Drosophila melanogaster: one gene and its partners. The protein of the gene in region 1 purifies or fractionates together with the protein of each later gene. This does not show direct contact. Each region holds a gene or a part of one and is shown on either strand. Other genes may lie near its edges. The genes, in order: SmF, RluA-2 and U2A.

Region 1 (2,983 bases):
CGCACTGGGATTTTGTCAATTGCCACATGGTGAACTACTTGACGGACCAGCACTGGGACGGCTTTTTATCCGAAACGCTGAAAAGTGAGATCGCCGGCAAGGAAGATGTGGCTCTGGCCATAGAAGACCTATTTTGGAAAACTGATGAATCAGAAAGGTTTCCGGCATGGCGAGAATTCCTAGGCAAGAGCAAACAAGAACGCCTGTCGCTTCAGAGGGTCAGGGGAACTCCACGCAGCTAAGCATTCGGGAGTTTATGAGCGCCAAAAAGTGCCATGAGGTAAGTAAACCAACCATTTTAAATGAGAGTATTTTAGGAATTGATTAATCTCTCCGATTAGGTGGATCTAACAGCCGTTCTCGTGGACCAGCTTGTGAAGAACTCCGGTCAAGATTGCTTCATTGTAGACGCGGGCGATGGCAAAGGGTATTTATCCTCGCGCTTGGCGCTCCAGTATGGTCACCGCGTGCTCGGCATCGATGCGAACGCGGCAAACACCGAGAACGCATTGAATAGGAATCGCAAATTGCAGGTAGGCCGGGCTTACAAAATAAAGTTAGCTTTATTTCATTACGTTTGTAGACTTAGAAGTAAGGTGTGGGTGTATGTAGGTGAATCCATTGGCTAGTCGCGCATTTCGCCCTCCTCGTCGTCGTCCTCCATGCCCTTGATATACAGCACGTTGTTGCAGCGGATGAGCACCTCGCCAAGATTACCAGTCACGGAGCCCTCGATCACTTCCTCCGTGTTCGCCAGCTGCATGTTCATGTAGCCGTCGACGGAGACCAGGAAGCCCTTGTACTCCTGGCCCCACTTCAGCTTCACCAGCACCGGTTTTCCCGTCAGGCCGTTCAGGAAGGGCTTGGGGTTAATGGGCATACCAGCCGACATTCTGTTTATTTGATTTTTCCTGCCTTTTTTATAAAATATTACAACAAGCGTGCCGAAAATCGCCGGCTTTTCGCGTTTTTTTTGTGTAGTGTGACCACAGCTGCGCTGTGTAAACATACCAGAACAAGAAGAAGAATAGCATAGAAGAAGAGTATTGAAAAACCATTCAAAAGCGCCAAAATTAAAATTTTATTTAATTTCAGCGCGCTTGGAATGGCCTTACGGAACGAGCGGAGCTGCAAGTCCAGGGAATCACGCCCAAGAGACGTGGTAAAAAGTCGCCAGCCAGGGAGAGCACCAAGAGTGCGCCTGCCTTGGAAAACTACAAGACAACGGCAAAGTTTATAACCACCGAACTTAACTTTGGTGCCCTGCTGGCGGAGAATTTCACTCAGTTTAGACCGGAAGACAGTCCAAACATTTGCCTTACTGGATTGCATACCTGTGGCAACCTGGCCGCCACCTGTCTTCAGGTTTTCCACGCCCAAACGGACTGCCGGTTGCTTTGTAATGTTGGCTGCTGCTATCATTTGCTGCGGGAGCGCTATTCGCAGCAGGAGTTCTTTGGCAATAAGTCCCTGATGGAGCTGCAAACAGACTATGGATTCCCATTGAGTCAGTACCTGCGGGAGCGACAAGTGCGAATGGGTCGCAATGCGCGGATGCTGGCGGCCCAGTCAATTGAACGCACCTTGGACACCAAGGAGCTGCCTAATGTAACGCTCTACTATCGAGCTCTCTTGGAGATTCTGGTTTGCCGCCATGCGCCGGAGCTGAAAAACGAACTGCAGGTGGGCAAGGTACGGAAATTCGAGAGTTTCGAGGAGTACATTCAAAAGTGTGCCACCAAATTGGATGCTCCCTGGTTGGCAGCTGTTGAGAAAGAAGAACTTCAATCCCTGCTCCAGGAATATGCCGTGCATAAATACTTCTTGGATCTGTTCTATCTGCTGCGCATGTCCTTTGCTCCGGTGCTGGAGAGTCTAATTCTCCTGGATCGCCTGCTCTACCTCAAGGAACTTGGCTATGAACGCAGCTATCTGATAGATTTATTTGATCCCGTCATTTCGCCCAGGCATTTTGCAATTGTTTCTATAAAGCAGCAAACGCAACAATAATGAAATTCACAAATGCATCAAAAGCTTGACGAGAAAGCCGGTTGTGTTTAATTATTTATAGATTATAGCGTGCAATACTTTTCATATCGTATATGTATTGCGTTAACGCTTTTAAAAATCTAACTAAACCATAGCACACAAAAAGTAAATAAGGTTGTTAAAACTAAGAATCATTATAATAAATGTAATCATGACTTGTAATTATCTTAGAGTCCCTCTGGATTTGCTGTGGTTTGTTTGTCGTATTTTAAAGCTTTTTCCACCACACAGGTGAATTTATAAGTATGCACTTGAAATTGCTATCTCAGAACTTTTGAGACTTTCGAGTATAAAAACGCAAACAACATTTCAAATCGCCCCAAGTGCGGTGCGTAGAGCTTTAATTGTCGGTTGTGTACGCGGGTGCTCAGAATTTATAGATCCAATAAAAGTTTCCTTGAAATTGCTGGACAAACTTGTTGCGAATTAGGCCAGTTGCAAATAAATTGTGTGACTAAAAAAACCTGTATATTTTCAAAGTAAGTTATGAAATTCGGTATACAAAATTGTATATTTTAATTTGAAAAAGTGTGATATCCTTGAAAAAACCACACTTAATATGGAATTGAGGGCAACTGTGAAAATTAAGATTACTTGGTTACTGTTACTGTTACTAAAATAAATAGAGAACTGGTTTCTAAGAAATATATTTTGGACATTTGCTCTATAGAAATAGTAGTCTCATGTATAATTAATAAAGCTTAGGACGAAATCCTTGCTGGCAAATTTTTAGTGTCATATTTGCTGCCCGAAAAGATTTTCTATTTAGCTTTACAAGCAGCTTAATTGGGTGTAGATATGGCGGGAATTACTATAAGCGTATCATAAACACTCATTGTAATGCTCCCTATCATAACTAATTGTAATTCGCGTTGGAATGGAAAAGATAATGCCAGCTAAAAATAATTAAGACGGCTGATTTAATAAAATCTAG
Region 2 (7,916 bases), on another chromosome or scaffold:
ACGAGGACATCCCCTTGCACCGCAAAATGATAAAGTAATTCGGCAAAGTAATAAAACAATGCTACAAATGAAGATAAAATGGAAACACAATTTGTTAAACTCTGTAAAAATATTTCTTTTTACTAAAGCGTCGTGTTTGCAATCAATTTTTCCTTTATACTTTATCGTAATCAATATTCGAATTACACGCCCATTCCGGCAATTCGGTTTCGTACTCCCAACCAACGCCCTGAAAATAAGATTTAATTTGAAATTAAATCTTTAAAAATGTATAGTTTGAAACTGACCTTGTATTTCCATGCATGCAAGTACATTATGAGATCCTTTGTGCCGGGGTCTCTGTAGTTTATCTTGCATTCAGAACATTGCGGATCCGAAGTTGTCTTCTTGGAATCAAAGGACCTGTCTGGTTCCTCATAGCACGTTTGGGTGGCAATCTGTGCAGTAGCCTATAAGCATTGTGTTCTCCAGACTTGTACAACTATTTTAAGTTACTTACATCGTTACTTGGTTCAAGGTTTTTTGAAATCACAGGCTTTTCAGTTTCACTATTAATAGGAGCCTGAACTACTGAGGGAGCCTCTACTACTGAAGTACTTGCTGCTACGTCTTTTATTTCCCCTGATACGATTTGATCTCCTTCCAAGCCCAACCAGTTTTCTGCATTATGAATGCTAATTAGGTTACTGATCAACTGTTCCTCGGTTATTCCACCGATATCTCCTCCTCTTCCTTTCAATGGACCGAAAACTTCATGGTTGTACAAAGGATCATTTGAAATGGGATAGCCTGTGAAATACGAGTGTTATAATTGAATGGAATTATCTGGTTGTCACTTACCCAAGAATTGTAAATGCACTCGTATTTGGTGCATTCGTCCTGTTAGTGGTTTGCACAAAACAATACTATCACTGCCCACCTCGCCGATTCTTTTAAATGTGGTCTTACAGTCCTTGCCCTTCGGTGAAACCTTACAAACACCTATTTTGTAGCTCACGACGTCGATTTTCTCATTGCATTCAACTATGCCACTACGAAAGATATGAAAAATAAGCAGATATATAAAAGATTAGATGCATTTTGGACTTACTCTGGAAAGCGTCCTTCAACGCGGCAAACGTATTCCTTTTGCACTTGGCGAGTTCGGATTTGCAGCTCCAATTCGCGGGCTTTTTCAGCAGTCCGTCCAAACAAAAGTAGGCCAGATGTGAGACGATCCAATCTGTGAATGGTTCGCAGGTTCTTCAGATTGTGCTCCTTGGCCAGGATGAAAACTACCGTGTTGTGTCTATATCTTCCACAAGGATGTACCTACAACATACGATTGTTATTAAATCAAATTCCTTCCAAATTAGTATACCTACCGGTATCGATGCCGGCTTATTCACAACCACAATATCCTTGTCCATGTACACAATCTTGATGGGCTGTGAAGTAACAGGGACTTCGTGTCTAGAATGCAAATGTGTGCATATTCAAATGAGATTTCCTGCTGATGCTTACCTATGCACCACATTGGCCAGCAGATCATTGTGCTTGATTTTATAGTCCTTGGGCACTTTCTCAGAGTTAACAGTCAATTTTCCCGCTTCCAGGCTGCGTTCATATTCCTCCGGCGGTGCGGCTCGAAATTCGCGGACAAATACATCCAGAATTTTCTCATCAACCCAACGTCCTTTGGCGAACGTGGTGAATGTGAAAAAATAAGGATACACCTTCCGCAGACCTATAGATTGCAATTTTATAACAGAATATCTTCTAAGTTGGTTTATTAATATGTTGGCCATACCATTCTCAAAATAATACGATGTTTCGTCGTATCTTTCATCGCTGAATCCAGGACGCTTCGTTTTTAGACTATTGGCCTCTAATTTTACTTTTTTCACATGCCCTTCGTCATCTGTGCTGCTAGCTTTTCGCTTTTCCGACAAAACTTCTTTTGATTGCGTTTCAGACTTTTCCTCTGATATGGATATCTGTAAGATAAACCACGACGGGTGGTAATAGTTTTTTAAAATATTTTCAGCTTCATTGAATGTCTTCTTTTTATTTTTGAGCAAAAACACCTTTAGTTCTTGCTTTAAACTGAACAATTGCTTACTATTTAGAAAATTCGTTTAGATTTGAGGAACTTCACTCTTGAAGATACAGAAAATACGAAAGCCTACCGTGCCAAAGTCATCATATATGTATCCTTATCAGCTTATCAGCTCTTAACACATTGGAGCCTTGTTTCCGGTGTTTGTGTGCAAACAATTCCTCGTTTTCATTCTGCAGCCCAAGCATAATTTTCAGACAGACTGTTTGTTTTTTCCTTGTTGCACACTAAAAGGAAAACAAAAACTACAAAATTGGCTGCGAACCAGTAGTATTTTGTTGGTTACTGGTCTACCAGCCAATATGTTCTAGCCAGGAAGCAAACATAGACAAAAGTCCATAATAAAACAGGTCTCTTGAGTTGTTTAAGGGTTATGCAAAGTTTAAAACTATAAAATACAAACATTTTTTATCATTTTTGTGCTGCCCTCCCTTCTCCACATCTCAAGTGCCATAGACATCATTGATTCTGCGTCGGTCCTCGTAGTTTCACGAAGCTCTACAGCAATTACCTTAAGAATTGCAATTACCTTAAGAATTGCAGTGACCTCTGATCCTGCAGAGATTATTCTAAAGCTGTTATCAGCTAACAATGGGTTTCGATAAGGTTTTTATATTGTTAGGCGGTGTTTTTAAGACTAGAGGAGCTAACTCCCTTGGGTACTGCTTCTTGATACACCCTGATTTCATCCGGATCAGCATCTTGGAACTTATCCAACTGGAGGATAATGACATGCTCTTCTTCCGTCGCCTTCATTGGCTCATGTTTCTGTTTCCACATGCTCTTGATGGCACATTTCCAATCCGTCCACACCTGTGCGCATAATTATCATACAAATTGGATATCATCGGCGGCTCCCCTCACTTGCCGCCAATTCGCATTCTATTTTTATCGCGCTTTTTTGTAAACAAACCCACGATTTTTCTTTTTCTTCACATTAACCTACATTGATAACAAATTCAACTTAGCGTTGCCAGATCAATTCAATTTGGCGCCTCGCAGATATCTCAACACATTCGAAAGTGCCATCTCTATGGGTTTTGTTCCCTTTATGGTCTTAATTAATATATATACTACACAGATTTTACATATTAATGCAATTGTTATTTTTATTTATTTCATAATTTTTTGTTTGTCCTTGGCTATTAAAGTCAACATAAATAATGCTTTTGATTGTTCCAAGTCAATATGCCACCATTATTATGCCACAAAAAGAAAGTTAAAATCATTAATATTACCTGTTAATTATAATTAACAGAGGGGATGCAATCAAACCTTATTAAAAAAAATAGGTATTGTGTCTGTGCAAAAAGCCCAACAAGAGTTTTTAAAGTGGCAAGATTTGGGAATATTTGATATGTTCGAATGACAAGGCTTATGTTTTCTTAACAACCACTTTTCTATACATTTATTTATTTAGTTAATTGCGCAAAGTGTGCCTGATCCGCAAAGCCACTTAGTCCACAGGCAGCCTATCTTCCCTTTTAATTCCTCAGTTTGATGGCGCAAGCCAGTGTCAGTGGAATGGAAAATGGAAAAGGAGTGCAGGCGACCAAGTCTTAGAGGGATTTTCCTCTTCCTGCAAACCAGTAACCGCCATCCGCGGCGGTTTTCGTAATGCGTGTTTACATGGTATTGTAAGAATTATAAAAACGACTGGCCCAAAAGGCGCATCGCGGAAACAATGAGGACCGCACTTAGGATACCCACCCGCCCGTAAGCACGAGGCACTGACACTAATAATTGCGGAAACATCACGACCAACAGACCAACTTGACAAAAGTAGCTCGTTAGGCAGCCACCGCGCGAGATGCCGGGACACTAGAAACCCACTGAAACCCCACCCAAAAAAGAACTAATTATGACAAATCCGTGGTAAAATATCTACGAAGGCAAGTGAAACGTGTCCGTCCATTCGTGCGTCCAGTTGGTCCCCACACATAACTTAACTCCTTGCAGACGACAACCTCGAGCTATTTCCCTATATACATATATATACATGTATATAATGTATATGCGTTTGTATACACTCCGGTTTTTAGTTTATTGATTAGTTTAATTAGCGAGAGAGAATTAGGAATGGGTCTGGCGCTTTAAGTGTACACTCTGGCTAAATATTTAAGGCCATTTGACACTGTCACGTACGTTGAGGTGGAGGAACCAGCAAACAAAAAGCCACGAAACTAGCATGCCTGTACCGGTTTTTGTGGGCCATTAAGGGTTTTGTCTAAAATCTGGTTTTTGTTGCACATCTTAGCAAAGCCCTAAATTTTTAAGAATCTACTGACGCCTAGGGGTGGCTTTAAATTTCTATGGCGGCCAGAACGTTGACTCTTCCACTGCAGGCACTGACTGCAGTCTCGTTTATTGGGGCATTTGTGACTCAAAGTCTCGTAAAAATGGCTTAAATCTCCAGGTACCAGGGTGCAGCTACTCCTCCTGGCTCCACCGCATGTTTATATACAATTTTATGACTCTCGAAACTTTAAGGTAATAGAATAAAACTGAAATAAACCCATTTCTTTCACTCACATGTGTGGGTGTCACGCAATGCTGTTTGAGCTTTCTTTCATTATTGTTATTAATTAGTTTGCAACTTACTTCGAAACTTTTTCTGAAGAATAAATACAAAACAACACTTTAAGCTTCAATCAAAAACCTAATTTGCCTCTAGTTTATTACGTCAATTTAGAATTAAACTACTACAGTATGAATGAGCTTAGATATGAAGAGCATTACAACAATTGAAATTGTACCTAATTAATTGTTTAAATTAATGCAGCAAATTGCATTTGCTACTCCCTGATTAGCTTTTTAATTAAGTTTTAAGTGTGCGATTGGAGCTGCTGCATTGAAATTTCCCTCGACACCAATAATACTGCATAAGTGAGGACAGGAATCCGAATCCACACAATTTGCGAGCAGACCGGACTAAATTGTTTTGGGCATTCGATTCCCCCAAGATAAATATGCTCTTTTACTAGCTGCGAATCGGTCAAAGTTGGAGAAGTGGTCGCCAGCCGCGGATTCCTCGCTATAAAGCGGGTAAATAAATGGGAATTAATAATGGAGGGCGACACGCCAGGGTAAACAAATATGCATTCAAGTGCATGAACAAAACGGCATTTAATCAAGTTCAGCTGGATTTTACACATAAATATATTCCTGAATATACAATATATTTCTAACATTTCTGTAATGTTAAAAAATTATAACTATACAGTATATAATTTTAAAAATTTAGTTTTCTTTTTTATAAATACACAAGGTATACTCAGCAAACAATGCGGATCATATGTAATTATATATTGTATGATATCTTGATATATAATAGTAACCGGATCTATGTACTTAATAGAATGTCTTATCTTATCACTACTCACCGGTGGATCTTTGCTTTCAGCTGGACTACCATCCTTGTCGTCTGGACACCACACGCATTCGGGGGAATCTTCCCGATCATGGAGATTGCCATCCGAAGTGGGATTTGTGTATAGCATATGGCGGTGCAGGAATATGTTTTCCACGTCCACGGATGAGGCATCTCCATGCTGGGTTTGTGCATTTCTCAAGAGTTTGGAACTCTCCATTTTCAACAGCCACGAGAATTGTTTATAGTTTTTGATTTGCGGCCAATTTACTAGAATATCTAAGCAACGCTATAATAATAACAACAAGTTAGTCAACACGTGCGCAGATTTCAGTTTCAAACACAAAAACACTCTGCTTTATGCGATGATTCAATTGAATGAGTTAAATGTTACTTTAATTCATAACACAAACACCACTTGCCAAACGAAAAACGTCCCTAAATTGCCGCAAAAACCGCATGAAAATTACGTTTTTATGCCGAAAGCAAGCAAAACCAAAACATTGCCTATCGATAAGCGCGCGAACCACTGATTCGCGCCGATTGAACTTCATTAGGGGTATTTGCACGGAACTTACTGGTTTTTCAAAGCCACTCGAAACCGTTTTCGAAATGCTGAAGTTCAAGATAGGATATATGATATTCGTTAAACTAAAGATATTGCGTGAAAAACCAATACAGATTTAAATTGTAACAAAATGTAAGAAATCGCTTCCACCAAAAATGAGGCAGTCCTGGGATAATGATAATGGCTTAACGTTTTTGAAACCTTATCTTCAAGCTGTTTAAGTTCTTTTAAAATAACACCCAAAATAACAAGCACTCGAATTGAAAATCCAAATTAGCAGCAGTCATAAAGAAGTTAATTTATAACTGCCTGCAATATCGCAAATAATATACGACTCGAGTTGGCATTTATCCAGCCTTAAGGCTTAATTACATTAACGTGTGTTCCCATATTTGGTAACTGCATACATGTGTGCGAACATGCATGTGGGAGTGTAATCGGAGGCCCAGCACACCTTTCTATATATATATACATATAAATGTTATATACAGGTTGGTAAGAGATCTGTGTTGTTTATAAACACGCGCATGATGGGCATGTTTAGAGGCAAAGCTTTTCTATGAAAGCGAAAAAAAACGCGATGTCGTCATTTTTAGTTTTGTCCAGGCGAAAAGTCAATTTAGAACAGTAGCTCAAATGTGTAGGTGTGTGTGCGGGCTCACACACACACATACACGAATGCGGATGGGAGAAATTTAATGGGTGAGCTAGCGCACACCTACAAAATATCGTGCTGATTTAATCACTTTCTTCGTTTTCACAAACGAACGTCAACTTCTCGCACACCAACACACACACACACACACCTAGTCGCACACACCCACACACACCAACCCCTGTTTATTCAGGATGAGCCCTATAGCTTTTTAGCCATATAGCCATATAGCCCCATAGCCAGTGGCCATTAAATGTTGCCTCAAATGACGGGCAAGCCTTTTCTTTGTTGTTCGCTTTCGTGACCAACCGCGTTTCAAGGAGACCTCCACTCCACTCCACTCCATATACCCGTAGACCATGGCGTCGGGATCTGAATGGAATGGCCCGTGCGAAAGTGGGTGAGTTTCGGAAAACAAAAGTCACGCAGTCAAACACGCAATTCGCGGAGCCTTAGCCCAAATTTGATCAAACATAATGCCTTCTGTATTTTGGTTAGTTGCTAATTGGAAAAAATTATTAAAACTAATCCAACTATCTTTGAGTTGTTTCAATAGTCCTTGCTTATCTAAGGATCAACACGAGCTCGCTTGATTTAGCTTAATTTGTTGCCTACTTTTTGGCGCTCAAAAACATGGAACCAAACTTACAAGGATAAAGTTGCTTAGATACTGAAACAAAAATTATGTTTTTTTAGATTATAATAAGAATTTCTTCACTTCCACAAGATCTACGTTACGAATTTCACTTTTGGTGAATCAGATCTTTTATACTTTTGTTTCGCTCATCATCAGCCTCAACATTCTTTTGTTCATTTTCACTGTGTCAATCGGAAAAGGCAAACGCATTGTTTTCAGAATATATGTACATTCATGTTGGTATGTAATTTTTGAGGAATTCTTTCGAATGATTATTTGGTGCAAGTCGTAACTGATATTAGAAGGTTGTGGCTGCAACACCAGAAGTATGATTTTGAATATGAAATTGCTTCGAGCATTCCGAAAAAGTGGATTTTATACGAGTAATTGTGGGTGTGCCAGAGGACACTTACCATTTGTTTAGGGGAATTGTGTCAAATGGTCCCTGTGGCTTTGCACATCAGTGAGTTGATAGAAAAATTCAAGAGCAACTTACTCGAAGTCCTATAGAATTAAGCTGACCACTTACACAATTTTGTTTTTGAAGAAGTTCTTTACAAAATTAAAAAGAAGATGAATTGCTAAATT
Region 3 (3,307 bases), 4.5 Mb from region 1:
AGCAGTTCATCCAGCAGCTACGAGAAGCAGCATGCCAAGGCCTGTGCCAATTTAATCAGCAACGAAATCCTCAGTATGCGCAACGGACAGTTGGGCGCCAAGTCTGGAAGCTGCGCAGAAAGTGGTGGTGTGAAGCGGATAGCCGGCAAGGAGATCTCCACGCTATTCGAGGTTTGATCTCCGAGGCCGGAGCTGCAATGCGATAACTTTTATTCATCAGCGATCAAAATTGGCTGGCTACTTCGCTTGGTTGATTTCGGTGCTCATCCTGTGCGTCTAACATTCGCATTTGCTGCATAGTGTGTATTCCTTAAGTTGTGTCGTATTAGCCAGTATGCCGCATTTTGCCTGTAATTTCATCTAGTTTGTGTTTGCCTGTTTAGCTCCTATTTAATCGAGCCGTCTAATAGAATCACTCTTCCACTTACCCACAGGAGACATTAGTTGAAGAACTGCAGCAGAGCATGGCGACCAGACGCGGTTTTAGAGACTCGACCTACACCAAGGAGGATGTCGTTGATTTATAAGTGTTCTAGTTATATGCTCAACATTCCCTCACGTCGATCCCTAGTCCTTCACCCAACCTGCCACAGTTTCACGTGATAGATAGTAGGGTTGATGATAACGTTAAGTGATGATACTGATGATAAGGAGGAAATGAGATGAAATGGTGAAGACAGAAGGATAGAGGGAAACAAGGTTGCAACTTATCGTACTGAACCATTAATTTATGTGCAATGCCGCGTGTGTGTTGTTTTCATTTGGCAATTTAGAATGAACGTGATTTATTTATTGATACAAACCCTGATACTTTTATCCAAATTAACCTTTGCATATTTTTAAAAATGTTTTGTGTACTATATTTTATATTTTTATGTATTTAAATCAGTTAAGTGCCAATTATATACAGAATTAATCTACAAATATTTTTAGCGTGTGCTCTACATCAATTTCAATGAAACTAACGAAAATAACGCAATGAATATGATACACTATACATATTATGTAATTCGATTGAGTGTATAAGAACTATTTTAATGGGCTAAACCTAAAAAAATCTAAATGAAATATAATATTTTTTATAACTGCTTCCAAATACAAACTTTATGGTTTATTATTTCCCCTTTTCTGTTTACCTCCCCTATACACATACTTATAGTATTTATAGTATTTAAGCGACAATCCGTTTTCAAATTTTGAGGCGCGTTATGCCGCCAGAAACAAATGCATTTATTTAGAAACAAGGCGGAGACCGACGATCTTATTGATTATTTTCTAAATAGTTAACAATTTAAGAAACTAGGCGAAAACGAAACCGATATAAAATTACTAAGCCATTTAACAACAGAAAACCGAAATCTATAGAAAACTAATTACCCTTATCGCAAAACGATCAACTTCAATTTTGATGATCTAGTAGTTTGCACCAACGACACAGAATATATTCAGAGCAGCGTTTAAACTTTAAACCAGTCCACCACCGACCACACACTTCGAGTTTTGAGTGTATCCCGTTCTCATTCAAAACCCCGAAACGAAATAAGAGAAACTTAACGTGTTCATTAAAGTTAAGCAATTAAAACATCATTGTAATCTATTGAAATTCAAATTAAACGGAAACGATATTGGACAGTAGTGTTATTTATTTATTTTTGAATTTCGAAAGATCAGGGGCCCTATTGGCAGCATTGGAGTAATCCCAGTATTATTACGATATTTAGAATGGTAGAAGCCCAGCAGACCGATAAAATACCAAAACATTGTTACCACTAGATCTATCGATAGCGATGCCGGCATTGCTTGCTATCGGAAAACTGTTCATCACCAACTCGCGTCGGCAGCGAATTGTTTTTCTGCATTTCGGAAAATAAGCTTCAAAAGAGTATAAAAAGACCGAGTAAAGACCAAACGTAAGCATACTATAACTGCCAAGATGGTGAAACTAACGCCGGAGCTGATAAACCAGTCGATGCAATACATAAACCCATGCCGGGAGCGCGAGCTGGATTTGCGCGGCTATAAGATTCCACAAATCGAGAACCTGGGCGCAACTCTGGACCAGTTTGATACCATCGACTTGTCCGACAACGATCTGCGCAAGCTGGACAACCTGCCGCATCTGCCGCGCCTCAAGTGCCTGCTGCTGAACAACAACCGCATCCTGCGCATCAGCGAAGGGCTGGAGGAGGCGGTGCCCAACCTGGGCTCCATCATTCTCACCGGCAACAACCTGCAGGAGCTGAGCGACTTAGAGCCCCTGGTCGGATTCACCAAGCTGGAAACCATCTGCCTGCTTATCAACCCGGTATCCACGAAGCCCAACTACCGCGAGTACATGGCCTACAAGTTCCCGCAGCTGCGGCTACTCGACTTCAGGAAGATCAAGCAGAAGGACCGCCAGGCGGCGCAGGAGTTCTTCCGCACCAAGCAGGGCAAGGACGTGCTAAAGGAGATTAGCCGGAAGTCCAAGATGAGCGCCGCAGCCGCCATAGCTGCAGAGGCGGGGAATGGCAAGGGAAGGGGATCGGAAGGCGGACGACTGGCCAATCCGCAGGACATGCAGCGCATCCGCGAGGCCATCAAGCGGGCCAGCTCTCTGGCAGAGGTGGAGCGTCTATCGCAGATCCTGCAAAGCGGCCAGCTGCCGGATAAGTTTCAGCACGAGATGGAGGCGGTGGCACAGAACGGGGCGGGGCACAACGGTTCGGGGGCCGTGGCCATGGAATACTAGGACTAGAATTATCCGCTCATCTGTCAGCTACCTTATAACCGTAGACCAATATTTTTTAATAAAACACCAAAAGTTGATTCATCGCATTCTGCATTTCGGACACTCAAAAACATATAGAATCTTCTGTTTTCAACTAAGACCGCTGGCCGAAGGATCTTTCACGGAAAGATTCGGGACAATCGGTCACAACAGAAATGCATTTACATGACCGTAATTGGCTAAAAGTTTAACAATCTACAGCGAGTACAAAGGGGACACAAAACGAGAGGAGCTGCTGGCTTATGTGGAGAGTGGAGTGGTGTGGTGTGGACCTGGCTCCTGGAATCCGGTATTGCTGGGGAGTGTTATTAAGATCCTTTCGCCGCCATTATGGCGTCGTAGTGCAGGCCAGTGTAGAAGATGATCCACGTGACCAGGAATCCGGCAAACGACGTCATGAACCCCTCCTTGATCAGCTCCCATACCCCTCCGTAGGCGTCCTCGTCCACGTTCTGAAAGTTTATGGCGTACAGGTAGACGATCCCGCAGCTGATGCCGGCGAATCTGGGGGCGCATTGGATTGATTAAGTGAAGTGA

Evidence for each region.
Region 2: the proteins of SmF (region 1) and RluA-2 purify together in Drosophila melanogaster (affinity purification with mass spectrometry, with the first as the bait; one large-scale study listed by BioGRID). This does not show direct contact.
Region 3: the proteins of SmF (region 1) and U2A purify together in Drosophila melanogaster (affinity purification with mass spectrometry, with the first as the bait; one large-scale study listed by BioGRID). This does not show direct contact.

What each region holds. Positions count from the first base shown.
Region 1 is NT_033778.4:12,183,298-12,186,280, forward strand, and holds SmF (small ribonucleoprotein particle protein SmF), read right to left. Parts: upstream 1,014-2,983; 5' UTR 893-1,013; coding exon 626-892; 3' UTR 547-625; downstream 1-546. UniProt on the Drosophila melanogaster protein: Plays a role in pre-mRNA splicing as a core component of the spliceosomal U1, U2, U4 and U5 small nuclear ribonucleoproteins (snRNPs), the building blocks of the spliceosome.
Region 2 is NT_033779.5:10,475,158-10,483,073, reverse strand, and holds RluA-2 (RluA pseudouridine synthase 2), read right to left. Parts: upstream 6,002-7,916; 5' UTR 5,689-6,001; coding exon 5,482-5,688; intron 1,977-5,481; coding exon 1,790-1,976; intron 1,727-1,789; coding exon 1,504-1,726; intron 1,453-1,503; coding exon 1,365-1,452; intron 1,312-1,364; coding exon 1,091-1,311; intron 1,032-1,090; coding exon 841-1,031; intron 790-840; coding exon 500-789; intron 450-499; coding exon 288-449; intron 230-287; coding exon 155-229; 3' UTR 99-154; downstream 1-98.
Region 3 is NT_033778.4:7,674,862-7,678,168, reverse strand, and holds U2A (U2A), read left to right. Parts: upstream 1-1,806; 5' UTR 1,807-1,933; coding exon 1,934-2,731; 3' UTR 2,732-2,807; downstream 2,808-3,307. Other genes in the region: LRR (Leucine-rich repeat), read left to right, coding at 1-171, 435-527; CG12107 (uncharacterized protein), read right to left, coding at 3,079-3,274. UniProt on the Drosophila melanogaster protein: Involved in pre-mRNA splicing as component of the spliceosome. Associated with sn-RNP U2, where it contributes to the binding of stem loop IV of U2 snRNA.